3 linked regions of the Styela clava genome follow. The protein of the gene in region 3 purifies or fractionates together with the protein of the main gene of each other region. This does not show direct contact. Links are inferred from orthologs where the notes say so. Each region holds a gene or a part of one and is shown on either strand. Other genes may lie near its edges. The genes, in order: protein KRI1 homolog, nucleolar complex protein 4 homolog and KRR1 small subunit processome component homolog.

Region 1 (3,760 bases), on a different chromosome or scaffold from region 3:
CTGGAGTTATAAACAAATAATAAAATACGAAAAATATGAATAAAAAATAACTACACAACATACCTCTACACATGTTAACATCTAACCAATTGTATTTTTCTTCTATGGCTTCGATTCCCATTTCTTTCGCTTTTTGTATTTTGTCGCATATGATCGAACCTGACGGCTGGGCTAAAAAACAAAACTATGATAATCCTAAACAAGATTGAAAAATAGAAAATTTTTGGTTCCATGACGAAGCAAAATAAAAGTAGGCTACTAACTTACCTGATATTGTTATTGATAAAGCTGCACAGGCAATAACTAAAAGTAATATTGACCCTCCTATGATGACCAATTTCGCTTTAGATGGCGGATTCTTTGCCACTTTTTTGTCTGTCGTAATAAAACACGGAAAATTAACTTTTATGAACTTATTTACTGAAAAATTCATTTGGAATTCAGTTGAAGCACTTTATGTCTAAGTTGAGATTGACTATGTTTGATACTCTCATTGAATAAGTCAGTGGTCATTGTCACTCTTCAGTAAAAACCCGAAAATGTATTGACAGTATCGTAGTTGACGCAGTTGTTGCTATTTAGTTATTAAATGCGTATTATTTTTGTTCTTGTTGGGAGTCGGGGAATATAGCTTATATTTTCTTAATATTTTTACCTAGCACTTAAATCACCATGGTCATATAATCTATCTAGCCTATAACGTTAGTAAATTGTCAACATGCGTTAAAAATGTATAATAATTATCTTGCCATTTTTAGCTTTATCGGCTTGCTTGGCTGATTTTTCGCCAGGATTCTTCTTTGGTGCCATGTTACATTTTTAGAGTAGCTTGAATCATTTCACATTTTTAATGGAGTTCGCATTCTAACACAGGATATTGTATAATTATGTATATATAGGTATAGATCTAAAACAGAATAAAGGTTAACAGTTTGATCAATGACTGACAAACAAAACAGACCAGGATGATCACGAATTCAAAATATCTCGTCACAATTGTTAATTTATGCCAGGTTTCAATATTGGTGGATATAGTTCAACCTAGTAAAATGCTCAAATTAAATAATATACAATTTTTAAAATGCAGATGAACAAATTCAAATTCGGAACAATATATAAAATGATACATTCGTATGTTTAAACTGATTGCCAAAAATGCAATATGTAACACTGATAAATATGATTGTTTAATACTGGCATCGACGAGCCGAACAACTAAGAACATCGTCGATTTTGATGTAATAATGGGTTTAAGTGAGGTAGAGGTTTGTATTAGATTTTTCACGCACAAGAGTTTACCGTAATTTCAGGATGCTGCAAGACCTACAGATACAATATAAATCAAGCATATCTATGAATATTAGTCGATTTTATTTAATTACCCATACGTCATAATTTCTGCATAGATACACAGTAAATCCAGCCCATACATTCACTATTTTTAACACCGGCGTTCATAACTAAAATAGTTATCTACATGCACGATTTTTAAATTCTTATTTTATTCTGATTCTAATTTAATATTTTTAGAGAAAGAAAGCGCACACGCGCACACAGGAGTAAAGGATATTCAACTCTGAACAATCTTATTATGGACTCCAGTTGTTCATCACCGAGGGAGTTCCCCTCCGTGTTGATCTACACGCCGTGTTCTGTTGTTTCTTTGCTTCGTCTTGTCTCCGTCGTTATTACTGTATTAATGCTGTAGGTTACCCCCGGTGTTGTTTTCTTTTTATCCTGTTATCATGGAAGATTTCAAGATTAACGAAGACTTTGCTAAGAAGTATAACAAATACCGACAAAAAGAAGAATTGCAAAAACGTGAGTCTAAAATCACTTTTTATCTGAGATCCATCATCAACATTTAAGGATCCATTTCTATCTTTGAAACCTTTTTATACTAGCCACAGTCAGTAATTACCTAGGTAGTATGATACCGTTACCAGTATGATAACGTGATTAGTACATATTAAATAATTCTTGGTAACAATGCCAGCAATGCCCATCTTTTTAATTGTTGAAAATGAACGGAGGCGCAGTTCTTACCACTTCATGGCAGCTCCTGCCACGAACGTACCACGCCGTCTCCTGCCATGGTTTTATGGCGCTATTACGGGTATATTTACAAATTCATGTACCATATTTTAGTTTATCATGCGAAATTATATCTACTTAAACCCTAACCCTAACCCCAAATCCATCCAAACTGTATCCATAAGAAAAACATTCCAACTCACCAAATATTTATCACCATCAGCAGATTAGGGGCAGCCCTGCTATTACAGCCGACCTGCCGTGGTTACGGCATTAAAATTGGTGGTATTCGATTTGCTGCCGTAACCACGGCAGCTCGCTATTGGTTTGTGGCAGCTAAAAAGTCAGTCGCCGTGGGTTTGGTCTTAGTGGCCGTGGTTTGGAAATCCCGCCATGGTTTTGCGGCAGCTGTAGACGCCACAAAATACTTGAAACTGCACTTGAACGATTGCTAAACTGCCAGACATTTTTCCGTTCAGACTTTTTCAATCATGATGGCATATGACGGTTTGAGTTATAACTTTGGCTTTCTGTTGCCTAGGGAGTTGTTTGAAAATAATAATATGCTATATAAATAGATAGACTACACAAATATTTATAGATTTATTTACAGATATTTATTCCTATCAGCGACATATAACCTGCGTCTCTGCATTGTTACAAACCTAACCCTGTAACTCTCTAACCGCAGAACTGTAACACTGCCAAAACATCCGATAAATCAACATGTATTTATATATTATTATTTTTAAACAACTCTGAAGGTGTACTTGAAACAAAATCATAACTCAAATCGTCTTTTCGTCAGCAAAATCTGTTAGGCAAATGTCTGTGGTACAAAAAGTCTTTATACCAAAAGAAACAAATATTCTGTATATTTGTTCCATTATAATGGAGTATGATAATTCTTATATTGCTGTATCATACTGTACTGTCATCTGTTAATATGTTTCAATTTGAACCTAACTGCGCTAACTTGGTTTTTTATTTATTGCTGTGTAGGTATGTTTAAATTCATTATATGAAAAGAATGAAGGACAATGGCATTCGTCTCTCTATGCCCAACCGCGGGAATGTTTAAATTAGTTTTTCATCATTGGTCATATAATTTTTCTTGGTTAATTTTGCGGATTTAATTTACAAAAACAACATGATGTTGTCATTGTGAGAATTGTGGGGTTAGCATTGCTAGTTTAAATATCATAGGGGCCAAAACAAAGTCGATGCCAAACGGGGCAAATGACCACCACCACCAGAGTCGAAATAGTGATAAACAACTAAAAGAGCAAGTAGTACAGTAGTACAAATATATAAAATCCAATTTTATTTTTTCAGTGAAAAGTCGTTACGGCGATGTATCTTCTGACAGCGAAAGTTCAGAATCTGAGGATGAAAATGCTGAAGCATTAACACCAGGGTTGGAAAGAGATTTTCTCAGAACACTTGCATATCTTAAAAATAAAGATCCAGCAATATATGACAAATCTAAAAAATTTTATGAAGAGCATGAAAGCGATGAAGTAAGTTTAAGGCATATTGTATTTGATTTAAATAACTTTAGTTGATAGCTGTACGTGTAGTAACTGAAAGTTATTTTTACTTTGACTCAAGTCATAAAAATTAGAGCTAAACTAAAGTGCTGAAACACACCAATTGGACCACTTATCATTCCGAGTACCCTGACATTACAGCATCACAAGTTCGATAAGAAAAATAGGAAGATAGG
Region 2 (3,760 bases), on a different chromosome or scaffold from region 3:
GTGTTATCAAAACAGCTTACCAGAAAATGGGCAAATCCGGCCAGTTGTGTAATTTTATCTGGCCCGTCTGATGCTGCCACAACCAAACTAAAACCAAATTTTGAAGTATACTAAAAATAGCTCAAGTTTGTTGAGATTGCGAATAAATTTAGTTTTGACATGTGGCCTATTGTTTTCCACTTTTGCTTTTCTAACACTGTAAATATTGTTCATAAAATGTAACTTTTCACACTTACATGGCCTGTGCAAAATTTTTCGCCCTGGTCCAGAAAACCTTGCCTATCCCTGCTCTTATAGCTCTCATTGACACAGTGAAAGACTCTTGATTTATATTTAATTTCGTCTAATCATTTTGTTGGAAATTAAAAAGACGAAGATCATGCACACTTGGGCAGGACTATCAGTTAAATTCCTTATCACAATATCAACAGACTCTCATTTATCCATGATGTCTACATGCCATTTTCTCTCTATCATTTTACAGTACACAGATATGGCACTGGTAGAAGAGCATATTGGAAATGGACAAATTGAAGAACTCATAATTCAGGCCAAGAATGAACATCATCTTGCCAGGGAAATGGCAGAATGTCGACCATGGGAGACATTGGTTGGAGAAGCACCACCTGGACAATGGGACTGGCCATGAATATTTTTGAATATATTATAATTTATTTTTATTGTGTTCTTCTGATTACAACATCCACCTAATGAGCTGTGAGAATATTTATTTCATGCACAAGGGATATGGGAATTAGGTTTAAGAAGATATTGCATAGTCCTATTTTCTAAACTGACCATAGTTCCATTACAGCATCATCAAATCCACCAAACAATGTTTTTGGCGCTCTGTAATTCATAGGAGCGTCTACAATTTCCTTCTCGCAAAGTGTATCAAACATTTCTTCATAAGTATTTTCAAGCAAGTCTGTAATGTCCTGCTTTGGTCCCTTGTCAATGTTTTTTATCGCAGCGCTTACCGAAGATGAACAATGTTTCGAAAGAGCTGTCAATTCCCATAAAAAGCTTTCCATCGCTTTGCATTTTGCAGGATCAACTTCTGCTTCCAAGTATGGATCGCCAGCTAAAGCTTTCTTTTGTAAGGCTTTGGTATTTTGGTTTATGAGAATTTTTATAGAAGGGTGTCTGTCAATTAAAGTCTGAATAAAATTTACCAATAATTCTTGCGCGCAGGTTGGTGCAACTAACGTCAATCGTGAAAGTCTTTTAGCAAATGCTGCAACCAAATATGCAGGCAAATGTGTTGATGACAGGAAAACATCCAAAAGAAAAAAAAATCTTGGCTGATATTTAGCATCAAATACCCTTGGGTGAACCATGCTGTATAAATGAGTGTAAAAATCTGGATATTCCAGATTATGTTCATTCATTAGAATAAACAGGCTGTGTAAAGACAAGAGAGCTATACCACCTCCTTTGTTGAAAGAACGTGTAAGGAAATCAGCCAGGATACAAGGGCTTGCAAAATTTGGTATAACACATTTCTGAAGTATTACAAGAACACTTTTGAAAAGATGACTATCCAAATCATAATTCAAAAACTCAAGCCAGGCATTTCCAAAGATTTTCCTTTGCTCTTTTAAATCTAACGCCTTAGGAAATGGAATTGACGAGTCCTGATACTTTTCAGTGACGACTGGATCTTTGTTGACCGCTGGAAAAATTCTTTCTACACCATTATTAGCCAAAGTATGTAAGTTAGTTTCATCCATGACAGCCGGCATGCTTTCAGATATTGAATTCAGTAAAGTGAATATATTTTGCAGCATCATAGACTTCAATTCTATTTTTGAAAGACATTCTGCTGAACATTTAGTAATACATTTGAGGGCAAAATATCTAACATCATCGAGTTTCCAAATATTCGTGCAAACATCTTGCATATGATTGGATGTATCATTTATTATGAATGCACAGATCAGCGATTCTAACTCTGTTTCTGGAAAGCTAACATTGTCTTTTTGCAATGCGACCCCAATTTTACTTTCCATAAATCTTAAAACAGTTACTATGCATTTTTCCTTTAAAATATCAGAATCGTGGTCCAGCAGGAGCACTATTTTTGCAAGGCATTCATTATAACGAATATTGATCCATTCTTGATATTCCGACATTTCTTTAGATACTCCTTTTTGTTTGGTTAACTCATTGTTACATATAGCATTGCAAAAGTATGTGCCCACGCCATCCAAAATAACATTCAACACTTCTTCATTTTCTTCAAAATTGATTAGCGGGATTAAATCCACAATCTTGTTACAATTTTGTCTGCTTTGTAATAACTCTTCAACCAAATTATTGATTGATTTTAATGACATGGCCATGATAAATATCAGGTACAAATCATTTAAACTGAAAAGTAAGTATGCTATTGATCATAATCTACACATGAAAACATACTGATCAGGCACGTGATGCCTATATTCTAGTACTACACTTTTTTGGTTTCGTTTGCTTTCCCGATTCTATAATTAGTTTATTTATTTTGTTTTTATCAATTATTTTATCGTCTATTGCTGATTATGGAGTCGAAATAAACTTATACTCATAACTCGGATATAAAAATCCTTAATACAGTAATACAGAAACACCATGAAGTGAAACTATTCAACCATATTAACCGAATTGTCACATTTTGGTAGAAAACATGGTCATTCCATAACGTAAAAACAACATAACGTAAAAATGCCCGATACGGTAAGAAGAGAAGGGCTGAACTACCGGTGGCGGTTGGTCGGCATCAAAGCGACTACAACACGGTCGGCATAAAGATTGTTTTAAATCCAAAGCAGCATGTGCAGTTGTGCAACAAAGTGAAGTTTTAGGAGTCAAAGATTTTTTGTTTCGGATCGAAATGGATCCCACTATCAATTTGGCATTTAACTACAACCATAACGATTTGGCAATCGCTATAAAATTACCAATATGATCTGGTATATTAGTCAATGGGTCTGACAGGTATATTTTATTATTTTCCAAAAAATGGTAACCGGACGAGAATCCGTGGTTCGCCATATTTAAGCTATTTTATCGGCTTTATCTCCCATCGAGATAAATATATAAATCCTAACCTTTTAGGTGTGTGAACAGGTACCACTTCTTTTTGGCAAACCTGTTTTATATTCTGTGCGCTTTCAACCTTGATTAATATTTTATCTGCTCTTCTGATTCTACATACAGTTTTTATTCGTTTTTTTTCCCCACTTTATCGTCTGGTATGCTGATTAGGAGTCAAAATACATATGTGTGGACTTTGAAGGATGGTTGTAGTCAACTTTTTTTGTATTCATCCTAGGAAGAGGGAAAACCACTGCGGTTTGAATACTTCAAGCATTTGCGGGATCACCAGATTATAAAATCAACCAATCGATCAATTGTATTTTGGTCGCAACTAAAATAAAATAACAGCAAAAACAAAATAACGACACATACACACATTTCCCTATATCTGATTGATAAACAATCGCGTTGGTGTTTACCTGATGCACAAATCAAGACGACACGGTGATTCTACTAGGAACAATTGAGAAGACGTCAAATATATAAATTATAAAGAATAGGATTTTCATATATATATATCTCCGAGGGGAGTCGATGAGACTAGTCGGTAAATTCATAATGCCAGATGAAAGCCGTAGCCGGTCATTAATCTCGTGAACCTCCATGCTAGGAATTCAAAAAAATGCAATAATTGCAGGTTTTTAAAGTAACCATCACCCTTGGTTAGCTTTCCTGGTAG
Region 3 (3,760 bases):
ACAGTTCATATATTACAATTCAAGATTAAATACAATTTTTCAAATGCCAATAAAAATGCACTAAAACTTGACATTTTAAGAAATTGTAGAGCAAATGCATGTGTTATTAGCTTTGGCGTAAAATTTTCTTTTAATATTTTCAGAAGCAGAGGCATTGCATTAAATATTTTATAGACACAGCTGGGCAGCTTTCATTTGTGTCATTTCATGCATAATGACGTGACCGAATGTATATTATGATAAACTGGGATGGCATGCGTTTGGCTCATGTTAAAGGAAATGCAAAAGGACGTGTTGACTTGAAAGATTGACGATTACAAAATGCAAAATTACCATTTAAGACAAGATTCAATTTTATTGTGGAGTTTCACTTACTTGGATGTCCAAAATGAATTAAATATTCCAATACATTCAAATTTCATTATGATTGATATAAAAAAAATTGGATTTTAGGAATAACATTTTTATTCGAAAATTAGAAAATAAGAGAAAACTTCGTATGAGATGGGATCAACATGAAGATTAGTGATTCATGTAACTTTCCACATGAACTTGCCCCCAATTTAAAATGTATTCGATACTCCATATTCAAAACTATTTCTCCAGAATGTATTCAGAATAGTGGAATATTCGTTTTCATGCCGTCCCTTCACCAGACAAATTTTGAAACATATATAATAGGAAATGAGAATTGTTAAGTCACAATTCATGATATTTCCAATGACCTTAAAATACCATAATAAGGTATAGTTTTTTCAACCACATAAACAAAAACAAATCAATCCACTTTATAGAATTTAAAACCTAAATTTTAAATTTGTCTGACTGTAACACAGCAAGCACCATTATAGTAGATTACAAGAAATTTGTGTCTAATATCATAATTGCTAGTTTGTACAAATTGAAACAGTGATTCATGACTTCAAAATCCAAATTAATATCTCAAATTACGACAATGCTAAGTATAGTAACAGGTGTGCGACATTTTCACGCATCGATAAACTCATACAGGAAACAGTCAGTATGTTAAAATTACCAAACTTTTAGGTGCGTTGACCCTAAAATATAAACGAGAGAGTGAACGTTGCACGGTATTAGATCAAAATGTCAATACAACTACTGTACTATGCTATTGTGTCAACCCGAATTAAAATAGTTACAGACTATAATGAAAGGTACAATCGAGCTATAAAATTACTGGTTCAAATATTAGGAATTCCTCAGTAATAAACTATTCAGTGCATTATTATGAAATAGCTGCCCATGTCATAACATTTCATTACTATAAGAATAGTAAACAATCCGAGAAATGTCATTTCTCCTATTGACGTAAAAAGCATAAAAAAATGGATCAAACAAAATATATGCCTGTTCCTAATTCTTGCTTTGATGAAAAGAATTCACAAATTTTCTTTTGTTATTATTAAACCATTAATGAACATACTTTTGGGAGCATGCGCATTAGAAAAACAATACTTTAGGTTTTTAATATTGTCTGAAATATTATAAAAATAAACAATTCGTGATAACATTCTATAATGATAAATTCTTATTGTACTTTAGCCTGTAGGTACGGTATGTAAAGCCCATTAAAATTAACGAGAGCTGCATTTAAAAAGAAACCTTTTATGTGGCAGATGAATTTGATCATGAATACATTGTTTATCCAGAACATCCCCATAATAAAACAAATATAAAGCATAAAGATATAAGCCTAAGCTCACGTCTAGCTGCTAAGACTAAAAGCCTAGCTCCTAGCAATTATCAAGCAAGGGACAGAAGTAAAAAACCATGTTTTTGGGAGCAAATGAAAAAACTGATATTCTCTTCTTTCGATAAATTCGTTTTATTCAGAAATTCAGAATGGAATTTAAAGTTTTATTCTAAAATCTTCTTTGATTATGCTTTTTTAGTTACTTTAGCTTTTTTTATTTTCTTTTTCAAGGAATCAATATCAACATCGTTACTGTTACGTTTAATAGCAATTTTTGTTTGATTGAGTGCACTTTTAGATGGAGTGGGCTCTTTCGGAGGAATAAAAGCCTTTTCTCTTTTTTGCTTTTGTTTAATTGCAGAATCTATTTCTTTTGCTTTTCTTTCTTCTAATTTTTTATGTCTTCTCTCTTTTTCTTTAAGAAAATATTCCCCAGAAGCAATTTCTTTGTCCATTTTGCTTTCTTGTTGTGGAGGAGGGAAAGGTGTGTATGGTTTCTCTCTTCTGGGTTTCTTTTTTCTTTTCACATTTTTACTTTTAAACTTGGGTAAGAAGCGTTCCCAGGATTCATTTCTCAGTTTATCATCTTTGGAAAGTTCTCGTTTTATCATGAGAGATTTAATGTTATATACCGGGTGTATATTTTTCATTGTGTCAATTGAAACTTTGCGAACTTCTTTAAGGCCTCTGTGTGGCCCAAGGGCAGTTACTGTATTTCCTTGTACCAATATGTAGCATTTAGTTAGAAGTTCTAAAGCTTTCAATGTACAATTATTAGGTCCTAAAAGTCTTTGTCTGCGTTTAACAAATCGCTCACGATTTCGCACTAACGACCCAACTTTGATGATATCACATGCAACGTCATCTTCGAAAATCCGGCACGCTTGTTCAAAAGGAATGCTCCTTGCTAATAATTTAATCATATCCCGAGCATTTATAATTGAAAAAGGGTCCCAAGTTTTTCTTGTCGTTTTCACTGTCATAGAACCTTCAATCAGGTCCAGTTCAGCTTCTATGTTATATCCCTTCAAATGATTTTTAACCAAAGGCCATATTTCTTGCAAGTATTTTTCTCTGTATTTCGGAAAAAGTGTTGCAAATGTACTTTCATCGGCCATTCCGTAAGGATTGTCCTCTTTTTTGAATTCTGGTTCTTTCCATCCATCAGGAACAGTCAGAAGATCTTCTTGATTTATATTTTTATCCATATTTGTCAGAGTATTTCCCAAAATTTTATCTTAATTAATATGTACCTCATTTATTTTAAAACAGGAATAAAAATCTTCGTTACAATCGACTACAATATAACAATATCTTGCGTACTCATGAAACAAAACACCATCAAGAATATTCAGAATTTTTCATTGCATCGCAGAAAGACCAGCAGCTGCAGACGGCAATGTTGTTCGAACATTTAAAAAAAATGCAAAGTTCAGTTCACAAAATCATGATACCATTTTTTTAAACTACTATTCGAGAAAAAACATTTCAAATGCAGACATTGGACAATTTCTTTAATATTGTATTTCTGATCGAACAAACAAAAACTGAAGTTCGTGATGGTGCAAAAAGACAATTGGAACAAACAGAAAGAGTCATAACATTGGGAAATAGTTGGAACTGCAAAGATCAAGCACAAATACGCACAAAATTCATGTCAATAAAAAGTCAATGCAGATATTATATGCGAAATATCAGAAATTGAGGGATCAAACGATTGAGTCATTATGAATTGCATCTCGGTCTATACAATGACTCAAAGTATTATGATACAAATATCCTATACTAACAATACTAGAAAAGTCATAAGAACCATATTCGAAAGCAGAATACTAACCGATACTTGTTTCTCTTACTTAAATTGGGTTTAAAACACACATTCACAAATATCTGATATTCATAAAATGAAATGCTGAATCAAGACTTTGAAATATTTTTTGTTACACATGTATTCTAGGTTAACATGTTCATATATAGAAACATTCTGTAGGTTGAATCACAAACAATATTTTATTCTTCATATAACCAGGTAAAGTGATATTCAAA

Evidence for each region.
Region 1: the proteins of KRR1 small subunit processome component homolog (region 3) and protein KRI1 homolog purify together in Homo sapiens (affinity purification with mass spectrometry; 3 studies listed by BioGRID and IntAct, with this or other methods). This does not show direct contact. The link is inferred for Styela clava from reciprocal best matches to the Homo sapiens genes KRR1 and KRI1.
Region 2: the proteins of KRR1 small subunit processome component homolog (region 3) and nucleolar complex protein 4 homolog purify together in Homo sapiens (co-immunoprecipitation; 3 studies listed by BioGRID and IntAct, with this or other methods). This does not show direct contact. The link is inferred for Styela clava from reciprocal best matches to the Homo sapiens genes KRR1 and NOC4L.

What each region holds. Positions count from the first base shown.
Region 1 is NC_135251.1:17,670,530-17,674,289, forward strand, and holds the start of protein KRI1 homolog, read left to right. Parts: upstream 1-1,536; 5' UTR 1,537-1,745; coding exon 1,746-1,821; intron 1,822-3,369; coding exon 3,370-3,554; intron 3,555-3,760. Other genes in the region: uncharacterized protein LOC120336391, read right to left, coding at 64-171, 268-375, 750-810.
Region 2 is NC_135250.1:11,176,177-11,179,936, forward strand, and holds nucleolar complex protein 4 homolog, read right to left. Parts: upstream 2,660-3,760; 5' UTR 2,346-2,659; coding exon 789-2,345; 3' UTR 650-788; coding exon of another isoform or gene 485-649; 3' UTR 318-484; downstream 1-317. Other genes in the region: NADH dehydrogenase [ubiquinone] 1 alpha subcomplex subunit 5-like, read left to right, coding at 485-649.
Region 3 is NC_135255.1:9,058,020-9,061,779, reverse strand, and holds the start of KRR1 small subunit processome component homolog, read right to left. Parts: upstream 2,924-3,760; 5' UTR 2,923-2,923; coding exon 1,900-2,922; 3' UTR 1-1,899. UniProt on the Homo sapiens protein: Part of the small subunit (SSU) processome, first precursor of the small eukaryotic ribosomal subunit.